2 linked regions of the Tribolium castaneum genome follow. The protein of the gene in region 2 interacts with the protein of the main gene of each other region in a pairwise test. Links are inferred from orthologs where the notes say so. Each region holds a gene or a part of one and is shown on either strand. Other genes may lie near its edges.

What was found. The genes of interacting proteins can lie anywhere in the genome.
Region 1: the proteins of Calr (region 2) and Ubc6 interact in a two-hybrid assay, tested with the Caenorhabditis elegans proteins (2 studies listed by BioGRID). The link is inferred for Tribolium castaneum from reciprocal best matches to the Caenorhabditis elegans genes crt-1 and ubc-1.

Annotation. Positions count from the first base shown.
Region 1 is NC_087400.1:6,408,707-6,413,924, reverse strand, and holds Ubc6 (ubiquitin-conjugating enzyme E2-17 kDa), read left to right. Parts: upstream 1-1,869; 5' UTR 1,870-2,046; coding exon 2,047-2,090; intron 2,091-2,178; coding exon 2,179-2,464; intron 2,465-4,078; coding exon 4,079-4,204; 3' UTR 4,205-4,594; downstream 4,595-5,218. Other genes in the region: Atac3 (GA-binding protein subunit beta-1), read right to left, coding at 4,839-5,006. UniProt on the Caenorhabditis elegans protein: Catalyzes the covalent attachment of ubiquitin to other proteins.
Region 2 is NC_087395.1:13,847,299-13,852,764, reverse strand, and holds the start of Calr (calreticulin), read right to left. Parts: upstream 3,748-5,466; 5' UTR 3,595-3,747; coding exon 3,507-3,594; intron 3,411-3,506; coding exon 3,306-3,410; intron 274-3,305; coding exon 1-273. UniProt on the Caenorhabditis elegans protein: Molecular calcium-binding chaperone promoting folding, oligomeric assembly and quality control in the endoplasmic reticulum (ER) via the calreticulin/calnexin cycle.

The DNA.
Region 1 (5,218 bases), on a different chromosome or scaffold from region 2:
TTATTTTGTTTAATATTGATAAAAGTCGCTTGTTGTAACTTTCATGCAAATAAAGATTTTTTATTAGTGTTGTTTTTAATTTATTTTTGTTGTTTTGCTACAAACAGTAGCCAACGCAGAAGCTATACGAAGGTAGGTGTATTATATTTTTGTGTTGCATTTCTTTTTATTTCACAAACCAATAAATCCTTTATTCCCTTTTATTTTCTAATAATTATTGTTTACCTCATCCTTATATCCTTTTTTCCTGGCAAGAATGCTCTAAACCTCCACGTGGTTCTTGCTGGACAAATTAGTTATTAATTTGACTAATTAGAGCAATCCTTAACTGTAATAAGTATTGCTGATAAAAAAAGGTCCCAAGGGGTGTTTGTCCGAACATTTTCTTACAATCGAAGGGCTTAATCTCCTGCAAAAATAAAGAAAACTGTAAGATATAAAGTGGGTGAAAAAAAATAAAGTTTGCAAAATAGAGAAACTATATAAAAATTTAAAAAAATCATTAAGGTGCCAAGAGGTGTTTGTCCGAACATGATTTTTTTACAGTCGAAGGCTTTATCGAAGGGCTCAGTCTCCTGCAAAAATACAGAAAATTGCAGGATATAAAATGGGTGAAAAAAAATAAAGGTTGCAAAATCGAGAAACTTTATAAAAATTAAAAAAATTCGTTAAGGTCCCAAGGGGTGTTTGTCCAAACATGATTTTTTTACAGTCGAAGGCCCTATCAGAGGGCTTAATCTTCTGCAAAAATAAAAAAAATGCAGGATATAAAGTGGGTAAAAAAAATAAAGTTTACGAAATCGGGAAATCTTAAAGAATCTTTAAAAATTCATTAAGGTCCCAAGGGGTGTTTGTCCGAACATGATTTTTTTACAGTCGAAGGCACTATCGAAGGGCTTAATCTCCTGCAAAAATACGGAAAATTGCAGGATATAAAGTGGATAAAAAAATAAAGTTTGCAAAATAGCGAAACTATTTAAAAATTAAAAAAATTCGTTAAGGTCCCAAGGGGTGTTTGTCCGAAGATGATTTTTTTGCAGTCGAAGGCCCTATCGAAGGGCTTAGTCTCCTGCAAAAATAAAGAAAAGTGCAGGATATAAAGTGGGTGAAAAAAAATAAAGTTTGCAGAATAGAGAAACTATAGAAAAAAATAAAAAATTCGTTAAGGTCCCAAGAGGTGTTTGTCCGAACATGATTTTTTTACAGTCGAAGGCCCTATCAGAGGGCTTAATCTTCTGCAAAAATAAAAAAGCAGGACATAAAGTGGGTATAAAAAAGTTTGCGAAATCGGGAAATCTTAAAGAATCTTTAAAAATTTATTAAGGTCCTAAGGGGTGTTTGTCCGAACATGATTTTTTTACAGTCGAAGGCCCAATCGAAGGGCTTAATCTCCTGCAAAAATAAAGAAAATTGCGGGATATAAAGGGGGTGAAAAAAAATCAGTTTGCATTGCTTGAATATGAGAATAAAAAATGCAGAAATTACATGTACAATGGTCAGGAGATGATCTAAAAATGTGATATACAAGTCAGCATAACAGCTTATGGATGTTTTTATACCGATTTACCATTATTTTGATAATTTTTGCTCGCAGCGATTGTCTGGTCGACTGTAATGTTCATGGTGCCAGCACCATTTTTGGTGCTGTCTTCAGCGAAATTTTTTAAAAAATGTTTTTTAACATAAATCATACCTTGGGTGAGGCGTAAAGGGGCACAATGTCGTTATTGGGGCGCCAGTAGCTGGACGATTGTGGTGGTTTTGTCCACCATTCTATTCTATTCTATTCAAGTAATTTGGTGTTGAAATTCTAGTGACTTTCGGTGAAAATCCCTAGTCGGAATAACCTATTCATCATCGTTCCTAATCTTAGTGCTATTTTTGTTTATAAGTCGTCCTTTCTCGTATGTCATGCGAGTGCGAGTTTCATAGTGTTTTAGAAGTAAAATAAATTAATTTGTACAGTTGTAAATTTCCGTATTTGTATAATTTAGCTACATTACCACTCCCCTAGCTAGTTTTTTATTTAATTTATTTTATGAAAAAATGTCGACTCCGGCCCGACGACGCCTCATGAGAGATTTCAAACGGTTCGTAACCAACTATTTCCTCTAATTTCCCCCATTTGCTTGTGTTTTGCGCCCACATTTGCTCAATTTCGATGCGATTCTCCTGCAGGTTGCAGGAGGACCCCCCCACGGGAGTCAGCGGCGCCCCCACAGACAATAACATTATGATATGGAACGCCGTCATCTTTGGCCCCCACGATACGCCCTTCGAGGATGGCACCTTTAAATTAACTATCGAATTCACAGAAGAATATCCCAATAAACCGCCCACGGTCCGATTTGTGAGTCATATGTTTCATCCCAACGTTTACGCCGATGGGGGCATCTGTTTAGACATTTTACAGAACAGGTGGAGCCCCACGTACGATGTCTCGGCGATTTTAACTTCAATTCAAGTAAGTAGGTCATTGACAGCTAACCTTCATTGGGCGATTTTTTGCTTTGAACCTGTCTGACTCCGGCTCATTTCTTGGACCAAAATACAGTCCTCACGCTCAACAACACAATTAGACGTTTTTGCAAAAAAATGCGACCATTTTCATTAGTTGCACCAAACACAAAGGAATTGCCCTTATTTTTTATTTTGATTAAACAAATCGCCTGTTTTTAACTTTCCTCGTAAAAATTCAAGGTTGATTGTAAATTTTAATCAGCTGTAATGGCCGTAGTGCAATTACATAATGTATGAATATTAAAAATAAATCGAGCTAAAAATAACTATTCATTGAAGTAGTCAAATATCTGAGGTTTTGGGTAAAAACAAACGGACAAGAATTTTTTATTTATTTATCTAGAAGGTTGTTATGACTGTCAAGTTTGATAGACGTGTTTTGTTGCCCTACTAGATCAGGGACACCAAAATATATTCCTACTATTTTTTCCACGTCAGTGTGCATCAAGTAGGTTGCGGAAGTCTAAAGCACCTTTAATTTAATAGCCAATTCACAAAAAACTGTTAGTCATTTTAAACATATTTAATGACAAAAGTCTATGCTCATCACCACAATAGAAATTACTAATAATCACACAATTTTTGGTCTAACTTGGTGAAATTTCGATTTATAAAAAAATAAGAAAAACTACTTGAAAGTTTTCAATCTATTTCTCGTAATAAACTGAGAATATGACTTCGAACTAGTATCATAACTTGCTTGAAAAGTACATTTTCGACCAAACATTGTAGTTTTTTCGGCTTATTTTTGAAAAAATTTTGCTCAAAAAGTACTCAAAGCAAGTGAAAAATCAAAATATTTTACTAAGTTTCAGTAAAAAATCAAATAAAAATGTTTTGAACTGAAGATGTAATTTAATCAGCGATGTTATCATAATGAGAGAAACTTGATACGTCTTCATTTTTGCATAGTATTTTTAACAAAGCTAAAGCAAGTGAAACAAACAAATTAAGTAAATAAGACGGTTATTAATTCAACAAAAAGGCTCTTATGAATAATAATTTTGTGTTAATCAAAGAACATTATTTTTATTTGAAATCACTTCAAAACACACTTCAGAATATTTAAACTATTGCAGTGTTTTAACAATGCATTTAATTTATTAATTGTTATACTATACCTAAAATAATGAAATTAAAAATAAAACAAAATGGATAAGAAATGTGGATACTTTGATGCGGACTTTTTTCTTGGAAATTTAATTCCCCATTTCATTATATTTTTCTTAGTTTTGTCACGGAAATTTTTAGTCCAGAGCTTTTCTCAGCTTATTAACGTTCCTTTCGTCATTTTAATTCCACCTACTAAATTTTTGGGTTCAGAAAAATGAGTTCTCGTAAACTCAAACACATTGGTAGATGTCAGTTTGTTTTTATCACAAGCGCGCGTTATTTTTCCAATAACGTGAAACAATTAGTTAAAAATAGCGCTGATAAGATGTAAAAAAGTGTTGTAATTGCCGAAAAAAACACAGGAAATGAGCATTTTGCAAGACGATTTCGTGTATTATCGCCCAGATTATTTAAGTATTTTTTGTAATTTGGAAATTTTTGCTAGTCGTTACTGAGCGACCCCAACCCGAACTCTCCAGCGAACTCGATGGCCGCACAACTCTATAAAGAAAACAGAAGAGAATACGAGAAGCGAGTAAAAGCGTGTGTGGAGCAGAGCTTTATCGACTAGCGCCTTGGCAAGAAGTGTGTATACCTGAGCTACTTTCTGTGCTTCTAAATTACAGCCACGCGTATCGTTCTAAGTTGCTTCAATCTCAAAATATTCAAAAACTGATTTGTCGTCTGCAACTCACTAGATATTTTATCAAGTTGGACAATTTTTCCCGGTTCTAAATTAATTTCAGTCACGATTTATCAGTATGTATTCAATAACAGTGTAAGTAAATTTTTTAAAAAGAAAATATTATGTATTTTTTAAGTACTTTCAATTTGTTACACATTTATTTAATAAGTTGTGTTAATCTCTTTATGTTTTCCCCTATTCGTACGATTTCACCTCATCAAGGGTATTTAAATGTGTTATGCATATACTTAAATAAATTATTATAAGAAAAAACAAGTCTTTCATTTCGTTCTTTTTTATCAACATTAGTTCAACAACATTACAAAAAATTAAAAACAAATAAATTACACAAGTTATCACTCGCAAAATACAAGAAGACTCGAATATTAATGTACAAAAATAGTAATTAAGTTCAATTACGCTTCAGATAACGAGCCACCAACAGCACATTTCCGGTAAAATCCGGACAAATTGCGCTATTTATAACCCATTCAATTAAAAATATGGCAAATCAGCGATACTAGCTATCATCCATTAACAATTTTAATTGCTGTTTGTACCGCTCGGCTTCTTGCTCTTTTTTCAGCAGTTTTATTTTGTATTCTTCTATCGTTTTTCGCGCCTCGATCAACTGCGTCATCACTGTCTCCATGTCCGTGACGCCGTTAGGACCCGAGATTTTATACATCTGCAAAATAATTTAATCAAAGTGGCCCCTGATTTTAATCAGATCAAAAATTAAGTAGACGCCTCCTTGATGGACTCAACAGAGCGCCATCTCGTGATTTTTAAATAACTACAGTCAAAAAATATGAAATAGCAAGCTGTGTGACATTGACTCCTATCAAGGAGACTGTGGTAAAGCAAAAATTTGCCTTTAAAACGCCACAAAAACTCTTA
Region 2 (5,466 bases):
GTACGTTCTTGTCTTTGTAGTTGAGGATTACGTGGACTTTTTTGGTGCCAGGGCCACAAATGTCCGGACCGAACATGAGACGGTAAGGTGATTCGCCGTGCATGTCCTCTTGATTGAGAGAACAATCAAAGACTTTAATGTAGCCGCCTCCACAGTCGATGTTCTGTTCGTGTTTTACTGTAAACTGAATCACCAAGTCTTTGCCTTCGGTTGAGAAAGGCTTGAATTTTCGGCTCAATGCGTAGAATCGGGCATCCTGTGACGTTTGAATACCTGTAAGGAGAAATCTGTGAGTCTACGGCGGAGGTGGTTGCGTAATTTCCCGGTTTGGTAAGAAATATACCAAAAAGGACACATTTTGCAAAAAAAGGTCATGCAAATCCACACAGTATAAAAATAATTGGTTACTTTATTATAAATGTAAATCGTGTATTTTTATGTAAACAAGTAATTCAATTATATAATTGTTTTGTAATAATTATTCATTAAAACCCCAGAGTGATTATAGTATGCTTTTCTGCATTGTAGCTTGTATTGTACAAAGTGTTCCAAGTTTTATGGCCGAGGCAAAAATATAAATACTTCTAGTCGAGTAAAAAAATAAATTAAGAGTCTAAAAAGTAGGGAATTGATTATCCATTGGATACTTTGATAATGTTCAAAATTTTTAAGGTGTCAACTATTTTGCTAGTCGTACACCCTTTAAATAAAATCTGTTTTCAGAAAAAAATATGAAAATCTTATGCGCGATTAGCGTAAAAACCATAGAATGTCAAAATATTCTGAAAATAAAAAACAAATAAATCAATCAAGATTATCTACCCCCTTGGTATCTATCATCTACTATCCCCCTTTTTTGACAAAATCCTGAATTTTGCAAAAAAGAAACAATAAAAAATGACTTGAAAATTCTGAATTTTATTAATTAATTTCTGACAACACGTGTATATTCCGCCACTTCAATTTAACACAAAATTTCATTTTCAAAATCCGAAAAAGAAAAAACAATTTTTCAAAATGAGAGGTCCAGAAATTATCCAAAGGCTGACGTAGAAAATAATTTATCCCCAATCACATTATAATTGGAGCTTTATCCACACTTACGAAGCAATAAAGTGACCTATCATCCACTAGTAGAATAAAGTAACTATTGGAATAAAGTAATAAAGAGGTGACGCCCTTGCGTGGATAAAATGCTTTCTAAAACACTTACACAACAAATAACCCTTTTATTTTGTAAAAAAATCCTTTTCATTAAATAATTGGTGATTATTCTAACTTGTCTGATTTTTCTTATCAATAGACAGTTTATTAACAAAGACTTAAAGCTACGACATTTTATTTCAAAAAGGGTTAAATTTAAACCTTTGCGAATCTTGCGAACAAAAATTAAAAAAAAAAAACGGTCAACAGACGGAGATTCGATTCTGCTCTATTCTTTCATTTATTAATTTTCTTACTTTAAGGGTGGAGGTAAACAATTTCTTTTTGAATCGCATTTCACCAGATGATTAATAAATTGAAAGAAAAAGTACCTTCTTTCATAAAAATGAAACTATTTTATCTAAAAATGGGCAAACCTAAGACCAAATGTCTTAAGAACAAAAAATAAAAAATCGATTCAGTGAAGAAGTTGGAGATTCCTCTTATTATTGTTTATTATTTCTTGTTAAAACAACAAATTTGTTTTCAGAACATTTAAATTTCCCGCTATTTCCCAACGGTACGATTTTAGATTTGACCACAAGAAAGCGTTTTAGTTTCAACTCATGCAACACGTAGTCAATTTTTTATTGGTGTCGCGATTTTATTTTACATAGAACACAGTCCTTTTTAGTGGCTATTTATGACATAAGTGGGACCACCACATTTGAACTTTCCCGCGCATTATTTCAAAACGGGAATTCAAATTCAAATTCAAATCTTACGGGCTTTTTATTACTTCCTCGTTACAAGTCCTATTTTAATTTTTGTCGTTTTAAAATATCATAATGCAAATGTAACAAAATATTTTTCTAGGTATTCTTTGTTACAATATACACTGAGGTTTTTTGCAATGGATTCACATGGACTTTTTAAAACTGAACAGCGGATAATACAATTTTTTTGTTGGTAAAATTTTAAGCCTTCTTTTTAATATCTGAATCCTAGATTATAAACACTATTTTAAAACACTCCAACAAAACAAATTTGAATAACACTTATACGAAAACGCTTAAAGTTCTCGGGTGTCTAGGTATGCAACTCGCATACGCTCGTTGCATAACGACAACCCTCGAACTTTAAGCTTGTGTTTTCGTACTCGTATTATTAATAACTATAATACTGTTATGTAATATTTAGCGAAATAAATTCTTCACCATATAATACAACAGTTCTAAAGATTCTAATAATACATTGATTAACAAAAGTGGACCAATATTTGGTTTCCTATTAAAGAAAAAACAATATCTCAATTTAATATTATCAAAACTTTGCAAATATCCAAGTTTTCGAAACACGAACTAAACTTTTTAGGCCAAAGCAAGATGAATTGGCATCGTACATTGTTGAAAAAGTGAAAACACAACGACGTCAAAGCCAAAAATAAATTCAAATTAGTTTATTTAACTTTAATTTTGAGAGTCACTGTGTGTGAACTAAGTTAAATTCTGTCAAAATTCTCTTAAATATTACTATTTCAGTTAATCTAAAAATAAAACTTGCTTAATGAATTGCGAACTAAGTTAAACCCTGTAATTAAGTATGTCGTATCAATGAATAGAATTTTAACAATTTTCTCAAATGTATCTAACAAAAATTATGGAAAAATTATAAGTGTCCATATGTCACATTATCAGTTGTCTTGTTGGCCAAAAAATTATTCGAATTTATCATCCAAATTATCGCGAATTATGACATAAAGCAAATACATTTCTTATCTCCTGTTATCCAACAGATAACCACAAGTTCTACCACTCAAAAGAAATTTTAAAATCGAGACTAGGGGACGCATTGAAAGCAAAATTGATTAATGATCACCCTTTTAAAGACACATTAGCTTACTCCTAATGAACAAATAAGTAATTTGAAATAAATTATTGTAATTTTGTACATTTGAGATCAATAATAATCAGTCATCTATTATGCAAAAAGGAAACCACTTTCCAGACTTGATTATATTTAAACAACTCTATCAAAACTGAGTTTTGGTAGGTGACAATTTCATGTTTTCGAAACATTTGTGTATGAAAAATACGTGAAAACGTACGTTTTCATCAAAACTACAGTTAGGAAAACGGTAACAAGAGCAAACCCATCATTACCTTTGTCTTCTTCCTCATTGTTGAAAAATTTCCCGGCTGTCCACTTGAATTTTCCAAACTCTTTCCCCGGGTGTTTACTGTATATCCAATTCTTTTCCCAGGAATCTGCAATTGTGGAAAATTAGCATTGTCTTCGCAAATGCGAGTTTCTTGAACTTCCTCCTGAACCGGCGTGGAAAACCTAGCCCCCAAAAAACTTACCATCTTGGAATTTTTCTTCAAGATATACTTCAGCATTCGATGCATAAAAATACGCACAAAACATAAACACTAAGAAAGAGGACTTCATTTTATAATAATTTTACCAAAAATATTACAATCGACAACGTCAAATTCTCGCCACGAATCTACCGCAAATGCCAGAAAAATAGTGAGACAGACGTATACAAACCGAAGTAAATCGCTTATCGCAATATGTCTATCGCTCTCGCACTCACGCGATTTCGGGTGAAAGGACGGGAAAGTACGTCCGTGATACGTGACTAATACGACAGATGGAATGATGTGATTGGCTGAGGCAAACGCGGTGTACATTGGCGGCGATAAACGTAGAGAATTTGTCCTTGTCTCGCGCAAACACCGACCAATTGATTAAATGCGAACGTGTACCAATCCCTTGTACAGTTGGAGGCTCCTGATTGGCGGGTTTCAAGTGGTTACGACATGAGGCGCGCATTCAAATATTTCGCCCTAATCTTATCTTTCTCATTGACACTGTTTTATCGGCTTTGTGAAATCGCAATTGCGAAATTCGCCGGTTTGGGACATCAGGCAATTATATTTTTGTAATTTTTGTGGACGTTTTATGGTTTGATAAATCTCTGGTCGATTATTTACGATTCCGGTGATTGGGTATATGGGCGTTGTTATCTGCAATTTCTTAATACTCTCCTTAAAACAATCGATTATTTGCGTGAAAATGACGGATTGCCTCATTTCGTATCGCAGTTTCAAATCTACCGCTTCTGTATGCAAGGAAAGTAAAAAGATCAACTTTGAAAACAAAGAAATAAACTTGATCGCCTACATTTGAAAGTAAAAGTTCAGTAGAGTGCATTAAACACAAACGAAACACGTTCCTCCAAGAAGCAACATGTAAAAACGTCCGAACAAAGGTAAGTACCGTAAGATGTGATTCGAGTTCAATTTATTTGGTGTAAAAATGTTAAATGCAGTGAGTTTAAGTGAAAAAAATCGTGCTCAAGTCGTTTACCTTGAACTAGCAAAGACATAAAGAACGGAACAGTAACTTAAGTCATGTTACCTTCCATTGATCTCTTGTATTTATAACAAAAATGTGAGGTAAGTTTTAAAAATAGACCAAAAAAGGATTGACCATTCGTAAAAAAACAATAAAATCGCAAAATATCCTCCGATCGAAAGTGAGTAGAATTTCACCTTTTATCTATCATTTTCTTGAATATCATGCTAATTTTTTGTTAAAATGACATGAATAAAGCAATCTAAAACTATACAAGTAAATAACTTTCTAAAATAAATAAGTTTTGGAGAAAATTTGCATCAGCTTTCTTTGAGTTAATTTTTTGCGTTTTGCAGAAACGACTATGAAAAATGTCTTCAGTCAACGATAGAAAAATAAGGGACGTGCGTGATATATGGAACTGCAACAAGGAGGTGGACAAGGAGAATCCGCGAGTTCCAGTCGTCGAAAACAATGTAGATAATCGCACCAAACACAAATACAAGACTTTAGAACGACACCTAAGTATGAAAAAGACTATTCGGAAGAAAATGATGCGAGACTTGAGGGAAATAGGGGATGCGGCCGTCGAACCGAACTCTCCGACGCAAACAGCGGGATTCTTAGAACAAATTAAGAACGATCAACCTCCACCTGCCAATATAGACAAACCTAGTTTGTGGAAAAGACTTACGAAAGGGTGGGGTCATGCTTAAACGGTTTTATGACCTGTTTGTGATTGTTTGTAGCTTCCGGGAGCTTACTTAAATGATTTGCAAACAGTATTTATAGTGAATTAGCTATAGCTTTAAGTTACGCTGTTCCTAAAAAGTATTTTCTAATAACATAGTAATGCAGAATTGTGGTGTTATGATATTTATTTTATAGCATGTTACCAGGTTTCTTTGTTGTGTATAATAAATCCAGGAAAGCAAATTTGTTGCTGCGTTCTCTGCTATT